Caenorhabditis elegans: one gene and its partner. The protein of the gene in region 1 purifies or fractionates together with the protein of each later gene. This does not show direct contact. Each region holds a gene or a part of one and is shown in the gene's direction. Other genes may lie near its edges.

Evidence for each region.
Region 2: the proteins of twk-30 (region 1) and rbm-34 fractionate together in Caenorhabditis elegans (co-fractionation; one large-scale study listed by BioGRID). This does not show direct contact.

The regions. Positions count from the first base shown.
Region 1 is NC_003279.8:8,808,163-8,813,249, reverse strand, and holds twk-30 (Fibronectin type-III domain-containing protein), read left to right. Parts: upstream 1-1,602; 5' UTR 1,603-1,617; coding exon 1,618-1,722; intron 1,723-2,011; coding exon 2,012-2,110; intron 2,111-2,157; coding exon 2,158-2,268; intron 2,269-2,312; coding exon 2,313-2,442; intron 2,443-2,486; coding exon 2,487-2,819; intron 2,820-2,871; coding exon 2,872-2,931; intron 2,932-2,977; coding exon 2,978-3,104; intron 3,105-3,150; coding exon 3,151-3,284; intron 3,285-3,335; coding exon 3,336-3,489; intron 3,490-3,534; coding exon 3,535-3,868; intron 3,869-3,918; coding exon 3,919-3,962; intron 3,963-4,005; coding exon 4,006-4,094; intron 4,095-4,137; coding exon 4,138-4,244; 3' UTR 4,245-4,285; downstream 4,286-5,087. Other genes in the region: phip-1 (Sex-regulated protein janus-B), read right to left, coding at 23-214, 280-369, 4,306-4,374.
Region 2 is NC_003282.8:12,083,337-12,087,660, forward strand, and holds rbm-34 (RRM domain-containing protein), read left to right. Parts: upstream 1-2,083; 5' UTR 2,084-2,086; coding exon 2,087-3,073; intron 3,074-3,123; coding exon 3,124-3,224; intron 3,225-3,372; exon of another isoform or gene 3,373-3,492; intron 3,493-3,508; coding exon 3,509-3,605; 3' UTR 3,606-3,687; downstream 3,688-4,324. Other genes in the region: lex-1 (Tat-binding homolog 7), read left to right, coding at 1-170, 542-680; repo-1 (Splicing factor 3A subunit 2), read left to right, coding at 1,142-1,698, 1,781-1,892; F11A10.6 (Transmembrane protein 115), read right to left, coding at 3,912-4,095, 4,148-4,324.

The DNA.
Region 1 (5,087 bases):
AACTATGCTCAAACATGGAGATTCAATATCCGTCATTAGAGAAATGAATGTTATAATCTGGGTATTTCTGCTTTAAAATGTCAACAGCAATTTGATGATCAGCTCGTCCATAGCCATACGAATATCCATACACAAGAATATCTTTTCCAATTTCATCGTGCTTGATTCGACCACCGCCCACACATTTCAGCTTTAAGTCAGATGGTGCAGAACTCTGAAAAAATGTACAATTTATTTCAAAATGAGCGATAGAATTTGTAATAGTTTTGAAAATACTACCTTCGTCTCCTGAAGAATATCGTCATGAAAGCTGCATCTATAATATCCGCGGACTACAAATTTCTGCTGCTTTGTTGAATTGTCGGTTACCTGAAATTATTTAAGATTTCCATAAATTAATCCCAATCACAATAGGATAAGTATCAAAAATTGATCTTGAAAAATGTTCCACTGGGAATTAAACATGGATTCCACGGATTTTCCCTCTTCTTTTTTAGAAACTAGCGGCCTCAAAGAGGAATAAAAGTGTGCATGTTCCATATCTCAAGGGACCGATTCTGTGTGATGGGCTCCTTCTTGCTCTTCGGAGTATCGCAGATATCTCGGCTCATTCTTCGCCCCGCTTATTCACGGCCTCCCAACAACTACACTTTCTAACATTTTGACATACTTGTAAAACTCATGTTTCGTTTTTGGAAGAAGAAGTAATTAATATTTAAACAAAGTTGAACCTTGTTTGAAATGATATATGCTCTAAAATTATGGCAATATTTTTAGTGTTAGATTAAATTGCAAAATGTAAAAGTTGGTGGAGCGAAAATGAGGATTTTGTTTGAAAATGTCAAAAACCGTGTAAAATTCAGAAATGCCACACAGAAAAAGCGAATATAAATCCCACTCACTCAATCGGATTGGTTCAAAAGTGTGTGGAGTAAATCACTGATTGGTTACAGTCCTGATTTTGGAGGGAATTCAAACAGTGAGATTATCGAAAATTTGAAAAACAACATGTTAAAAGTTGGTTTTTCAAATTTCTACATTTTTTCAATTTTTCATTTGTGGTATTACTAAATTTCAGATGATTTTTGAGATTTTTAAAGCAGCAAAAAGCGTTGCTAATTCGCTGAAATAAGGTGGTACAATCAAAATTTTCAACTTAAAACCTCAGAATAAAAGTTTCACTTTCAAGTTTTTTTGTTGATAATAACGCCAGAAACAAATAAAACTCCGGAATGCAATAAAACATCAATTTTTGAACATATCAAAATCCCTTAGAAGTATTCTTTCTTCAATTTGTGTACATACCTCAATTCTACCCAATTCGTATTTCCAGGTCCCATCTCATATTTCATTCCTTCCACTTTGTCCTCTACTTTTTTTCTTTCAAAAACTTATTGATTTCTAGTTTCCACTTTTCGTGTAGTTGGCAAATGATTCGGAGGTCCGACGTCTTTTTTTTCCACCCCGCCAAAATTTTCCGGCCCCAGAAATGATTGATTACCATATTTTGTGTTTGCAAACAAGTAATCCTATTGTCAGAATTATTGCATATACTCTGGAAAATCGTGCAGCAGTTTTCCTTCCGAAATGAGCATTTTTCAGGTGGAAAACGAAAAAATGGCCAGATTTCTATCATTACATGTACTTTTAATTGGATCTGTAGTACTTTATATTATACTTGGAGCTATTGTATTTCAAATGTTGGAAGGAGAACATCTAGATGTAAGTATTCAAATTTATATAAGAAAACTCATTTTTTTGGCAGAATTTTTCTGATTTCAATCCAAAAAAACATTTTGGACCAAAAATGGTTGATAAGTTTTTTGAAACAATTTTTCGTAGGTGGAGTAAAGGAGCAAATTTCAAAAAAAGTGTGTGGTTTTTTCTATAAATTATAGCAAATGGATCGCAATGACGAAATATAATTGTAAAAAAATGTAAAAAATAAATGATTTATTTTCACACTACTCCACCAAATACTTTCAAAAACTTGAAAGTTTCAAAATTGAAGGCGCTAAAAAAAGATCACATGGCAAAAATAGAACAAAATGCAAAAGACTACGTGGATAAGTTATGGAGTGTTGCAAAACGAGACCGAGATAAATACAAGGTTAGATGGATTTTTCAAAGAGACATTAAATATTTCAAAATGTTCAGAATGTGGAAGATTTGATAAAATCAGTAAAAGAAGATACTGTAGATGATTTCAATGATTACGTGGATACTGTATTCTATGCACATCGAGCTGTAAGGCACGGATATGATGAGGTGAGCATCTAGGAATTATTCTAAAATTGGAACATTTAATACAGGATTCACCCACTTGGGATTTTGCAAATTCGGTATTCTTCACCACAACAATGCTTACTTCGATTGGTTACGGGTATGTGGCACCAAGCACATTTGGAGGTCGACTTTTTGGAGTTATTTATTGCTTAATCGGTAGTTTTAACTATATAAAATTTTCTATGCAAATAAAATTTTAGGAATTCCGCTAACACTTGTTACTGTGGCGAACGTTGCAAAGTTTCTTTCCGAAACAATATTCTTTCTTCACTACGAACTATGGAACAAATGCCTTGAATGGAAAAGAAAACGAAAAGGAGAGGTTGAAGCAGATCCTCTTCAACCAATGTTTGGTGATGATGAAAATGAAGAAGAGATACTTGATCGTGTTCGACTGGTTCGATTCCCACCATTAACTGTATTTTTCTTTGTATTTGTATACGGATGCATTGCTGCATGGGTGGTACGGTATTGGGAGACATGGACATATGTAGAAAGTTTATATTTTATATTTATCAGTATTCTTACTGTAGGTAAGTCTATAAATATATCTATTGTAAAACTTGATACTAATTCTTATTTTAGGATTCGGTGATATAAGGCCTTCACCTGGTAATATCTGGGTCACTTTGGCATTTGTAGTAGGTACGTTGTAAAATTATAGAGAATTCAATCATTTGAAATATTACAGTGGGAGTTATTCTCACTACAATGTGTATGGACGTTGTCGGTAGAATGTATTTGAAAGAGATTCACTATTTGGGTCGAAAACTCAAGAGTAGTAATCCATTCTACTTGCTCCGAGAGGCAAAAGCCAGGTGAGAATAAGTTAAAATCTAAGTGGAAATTCAAATAAATTCTCAGAAGACGACGAGCAGCAATGGCATCATTACTTGCTCAGTTGGCAAAAGGAATGATATTTGCTCATAAAGATTATAACGAGTTGGCCAGGAAGAAATCGAAGAGAAAGAAGGAAAAGAGAAGAGGAAGTCATGTTTGTAAGTTAAAATTACTCAGCGAGTTATTATTAAAAATTCCAAATATTTCAGTGCCAAATGAGAAGTTCATGTTCGCCCGTCTGCCACCAGATCCACCAAGTGATTGCCAAGTTGTCAGTACGTCAGCATATTCAGTAAGACTTGCATGGGCTCCACCATTTTCTCCTGATCCAGACTTGACTTACAACATTCGTTATAGATTGAAGTAAGTATGAAATTTATTAACTCTACTTATGACTCATTTCCCCAGACACAACGAAGATGCAAAAGTACGCGAGCTTCGTGGAATTAAAGGGAATACAGTTGAAATTATGAGCGTTGATTCATGTTCCCTTTATGAATTCCGAATAACTGCTCATAATAAATTCGGTGAAAGTAAAGCTGTGTACTTGGTACAGTATACGGAACCTCAGTTGAGTCCTCAACATATTTTGGCAACACGATTAAATGCGAATACTATTGAGCTGACATGGGAGCCACCATACAAAAAATCACATGAAGTTAAGAATTACGTGGTTTACTTTACGGAAAATCCGAATGCGTCGTTATCAGAATGGGAGAAAATTCCAGTAAATGGAAGACGGGTAATCAAATTAATTTTTAGATGAGTTAAAATACAATTAAACTTTTGAAGGTGGTCTTCCCTGATCTTCGATTCGACTGGTTCTACATGTTTAGGTACTAAAATACTTTGAAATTGCATATTTGAATCTCATTTCAGCGCTACGGCAGTTTTCAAAGATGGACAGAGATCTCCATTATCTCGTGCACTATTTATCAAAACTGACAAGATAGAATTTCACAAGCATTGTAAGTATTGATTAGTTTTAATCGAAAATCTATAATTTTGCAGGCGTTGGCCATTCAAAAACAATCGATGTTATGGATTCAATTTGTGAGAAAGAAGATAATGAAACAACTGCTCTACTCAAACGTGATTATGTTTCTTTTGCCGTTTAATTTTCGTTCTTTTTTTTAGTTTCTAATTTTAAATAAATATTTTTTACTAAAAAAAACTAACTTGAATCAGGATGTACTTGAAAACTCCTTTCGGGTCGATATCCACATCGGCGATGTCAGCGAGCGGCATTGTGGCTAGACACCCTGAAATATTGATTTTTTAAATTAGTAAACATGTATTGAATAACGTACGCGAGACGCTTAGAAGTTTTTTGGCAAGAATTTTGAAAACTGAAAATAAAGGAAGTAGAATAGAAAGGAAGCATGGTTGAATGCGTTCAGAAGTAAATTTTTATAATTTCATTGCGTAGATTTATGAAAACCCAATGCTCTCACACTGTGATAAATACTTTGCGGTGAAATTTCACAGAAAAATTAATCTTGAAAATGATGGTTGCACAGAAACATTAGGATTCATCTTGATTTTGAGAAGCCGAAACATTTTAGATAAATAATATTATTTCAACGATTTTTCAAATATTATCCCATACAAATTTTTTAAATATAAACAGCTTTGTAATGAAGTTCATTTACATAATAAAATAGAAACAATAAATTTGTTGAGACCCGAAGAACTCGGGGGATGTCCAATTGGGGGGATTACCAACTCGGGGGGATTGGCCCCGCCCACAGAACCGTGGCTTGCAATACGCCCATTTCTGCAACTGCCGCACGGTTTCGAAACTGTATTTTTCTCAATAGAGCGAGAATTAACAAGAAAAATACAGTTTCAAAACCGTGCGGCAGTTGCAGAAATGGGCGTATTGCAAGCCACGGTTCTGTGGGAGGGGCCAATCCCCCGAGTTGGTAATCCCCCCAATTGGACATCCCCCGAGTTCTTCG
Region 2 (4,324 bases), on another chromosome or scaffold:
AAAGATTCTACACCTTCCGTGCAAATTTCGATTGCTGAGAAAGAATTGATAGTTTCGAAGCCAGCAACATGCGAGCTGATTCAGTGTTGTGTCGAAAAGTCGGAGGGTTGGTCAGTCAGCGAGTTGGAACGTTTGTCTTCTGTTCTATCACATACAATTGAACGATTCCGGTGAGTTATATGATTTTTTATTACCTCGCTGTTCTTTTTGTTTGAACTAAAAGGAAATGTTAAGGATTTTTGGAACGTTTTAAAACATAGAAAACATTTATTATGAAGGTTGTTTATATTTTTGAAAATTTCAAAAATTGATAATTTCGTTATTTTGAAAAAAAATTGAAATTTTCAATAATTTCCGGTTAATTGAAAAAATTTCAATTCAATTGAAAAAATGCTCGTAATTTTCTGTACATTTCTTCGGCTTTTCCGTGATTTTCCTATTTTGATATTTTCGATATTCTCTGAAAAATCCCGAAAAAATTGTAGTCACAATGTAGAATAAAATAAACAATATTTATTTTTAACAATTAAATATTATTCAGGGACGAATGGAACCGCGAAAATCTACCAGCCCAACTTACCCAAATTGTACGTGAATGGCAAACAGCTGACGATTCGAACAATACAATTGTTAATGGAACCCTCAACAAATCGAATGGAAATCTTGCCAATGGACACTAAATGATGTCCCATCCTCCTCTTCCAATCTACCTCCGTTTATCGATTTTATAATTTCAAACTGAAATCCGTTTTATCATAATTTCCACCAGTTTTCCTCTTGTCAAAAACCCCTTTGTGCGAAAGAAAACTTTCAAAATAAGTGCGGCTACCGTGATACTCACCTATTTTTCTTTGTCCATTTTTATTCAAATTAAATCTCTACCATAATTAATTCCCCTCCAATTTATTCGAGTGAGCATTGCCTGCCTCTCGGGTGTATTCACGTGCCCTTCTATTATTTCATTAATCTTTTCCATTATCTTTAACCTGGTCTTTCGAAAATGAGTAAATTGTGAATCATTCGATGTTTAATGCTAATACCTATTTTTGTTTTAATGATCCGTTTAACTTCGGATATTTATATATTTTCGATTTTATTTTAAATTTATAATATATTCAATCATCTAAACTTTTTCTTTCAGATGGACTTTCAGAACAGAGCTGGAGGAAAAACGGGAAGCGGAGGAGTGGCTTCGGCCGCCGATGCTGGTGTTGATCGACGGGAACGGCTCCGCCAGTTGGCTCTAGAGACAATTGATCTTCAAAAGGATCCGTATTTCATGCGAAATCACATTGGAACGTACGAATGCAAGCTGTGTCTTACTCTTCACAACAATGAAGGATCTTATTTGGCACATACACAAGGAAAGAAGCATCAAGCGAATCTTGCACGGCGTGCCGCTAAAGAACAATCTGAACAACCATTTCTACCAGCTCCACAGAAAGCTGCAGTTGAAACTAAAAAGTTTGTGAAAATCGGACGTCCTGGATACAAGGTAACAAAAGAACGTGATCCAGGAGCTGGCCAGCAAGCACTTCTCTTCCAAATTGATTATCCGGAGATTGCTGACGGTATTGCGCCACGTCATCGATTTATGTCTGCTTATGAGCAAAAGATTCAGCCTCCAGACAAGAGATGGCAATACCTCTTGTTTGCTGCTGAGCCGTATGAAACGATTGGATTCAAAATTCCATCAAGGTGAGGCTTTACAACATTTTAGCACTTTTCTATCTCATAGTTACGATTAAAAAAATTGTATATACCAAGTAATTTTTTCCAGAGAAGTTGACAAATCTGAAAAATTTTGGACGATGTGGAACAAAGACACGAAGCAATTCTTCTTACAAGTCGCATTCAAATTGGAACGACTCGATGATCAGCCGTACTATTGATACTCTATGTTTTTATCTTTTTGATTTCAAAATTCAAAACAATTTTTTCGTGTTTTTCGATGATCTAACAATAAATTATTTTCCTTTTTTTTAATGATGATATTTTATTTAAATCAAGTATAGGTTGACTGATCCGTCTACAATGTCTATTCAATTAAAATTATAGTTTTCATAGTTTAAAAAATCAGTTTCAGATGGCGAAGAAGGTTGTCAAAAGAAAAGCTGAAGCAGTGTCCGCTGACGCAGAAGCCGTTGCAGAAGCTCCGAAGAAAATCAAGAAGCAGAAACCAAGTCTTCCAGTCTCTGAACCTGATAATTATCAGGCTGGTGGATTATCAAGTCTCTTCGGAAAGTCGTCAGAAGGAGCAGCAGTACAAGAGGAAGTTGTGAAGGGAGATAAAGTAATTGAAAAACCTAAAAGAAGAAAGTATGATCCAAAAAAAAAGGCTGAAGAAGAGAAGGCAGCTGATGCTGCTGCTGCTGCTGAAGAAGTTGCACCTGAAACAGAAGGAGAAGAGAAAAAAGATGAAAATAAGGAAGGAAAGCGAGACAGAACGAAGCAAAGAGAGAATAGAACTCTTCAAAAGTCAAATGCACGTGCTTCAGCTGCTGAAAATGCTCTGACTGTTTTTGTTGGAAATATGCCATTGACAATGAACGAGAAATCAGTCCGTCGAATTTTCTCCGACTTTGGAACTATTTCCTCTGTCCGTATGAGAAATCTGCTTCCTGCGAATGAGAAATTGACGAAACGAGTCACTCATTTGACAGGAAAATTGAATGACAAACAGAGTTCTCTCACGTTCTATGTGAAATTCGGAGCAGAAGAATCAGTGGAGAAAGCTCTGAAGTACAATGGAACCAAGCTGGACGATCATGTGATTCGTGTTGACAAAGTTGGAAGTAAGAAGAAAGAATTTGGAAAGGATATGGCCATTTTTGTTGGAAACTTGCCGTTCGAGATTACCGAAGATGCTCTCATTACTTTTTTCTCTGCACAAATCGGACCTGTCGAGGCTGTCAGAATTGTCAGAGATAAAGATACTGGAAAGGGAAAAGGATTCGCGTTTGTCAATTTCAAACAAGATTCTTCTGTGAGTCTTGCATTGAGCATGGAGACTATCAAAATGGAAAAACGCGACTTGCGCATTACAAAAGTTATGAAGAAGGGACATTTGACGGTTTGTTTTTTTTCTTCGAATAGTTCTTCAATTTATAATTTGTTTTTCAGAAGATCCAAACTGCTAAAAAGCGAACATCTCACGGAAAGAAGAACCAGAATGAAATTACTGGAAAATTGCACAAGTTCAAGTTCTCCACCAAAAAAGAAAGGTTTGTAAATATGTGGCATTTTGTCAAAGGGCCCGCGCGCGCAATGTCATTGCCCGGTTCTTCTCTATTTAAATCGTTCAGCGTAGCGCAGTTGGGTGTGCGTTTGTACTCGAGGTCGGCGCCCACGAGTTCGACCCCCACTGCTTGCACGACTGCAACCTGCTTTCGGAACTTTACCGTCTGCGGTACTTGTAGTGCTATATGAGCGTGGGCCCTCCGTGTGCGTGTAATTTAATTGAACTAGCACTCCGTTGGTCACCGGATAATTTTGTTTTTCTTTTCAGAACAACTGAGCAAAATGATCGTCGTGCCTTGAAGAAGTCAGCGAAGAAAGCCATTGCAAAGAAGAAGGCTGCAAAGAAGGGACGTCTGATGGCATAGGTTTTTGAATATTTTGTTTTCATCTATAACTTTGTTGATTTGTTTTGTTTTGTTATTTTTATCACTATAAAAACAGTTTTTTAAATCTAATATTTTATTCATCAAACAAAAAACTATCACAGAGAAAAATACAATAAATGCAAAAATTACTCACAGAGAGGGAAGAAGGCAATAAATGAAAAACACCCATGAAGAACAAGGAAGCAAAATGAAGCGAAAGAAAACATAAACGAGAGTAGTCGAAACTAGAGATCCAAGAAATACATAATTAATGAATGTTAATAAAAAAGGAACCCAAAAATCTATTTATGCCATTGATTCTTTGTCCATGGCTGGTTTTGAAGAATGTACATTTGATACAGGGGGCGGAGCAACTACAGTAACCTCAGTCGGCTCATCATCGTCACCATCGTCCCAGTTTCCGTAGCTGGCAACTTCTGCTGTTCGAGTCTTGTTCAATCGATCGTTCAACTCTTTCAATGCTTTTTGTCTGAAAAAATTAGCATTTTAACTGGAACAAATCAAAGAAATCAAATATTTACCTCCGTCTCTCCGAGTCTTTTGCAGAATTCTCCAGCGCAGGCAAGTTGATTCCAACGGATCCTGATTGTAGAGAGTGAAGATCAACATGACGAACTTGTCGTTTGCAGACGCCCATTCGAGCAAGGGTTCTGAAGCAAACTTTTCCAATGAGAGTGAAGAAGAGTTGAGTGCGAGAC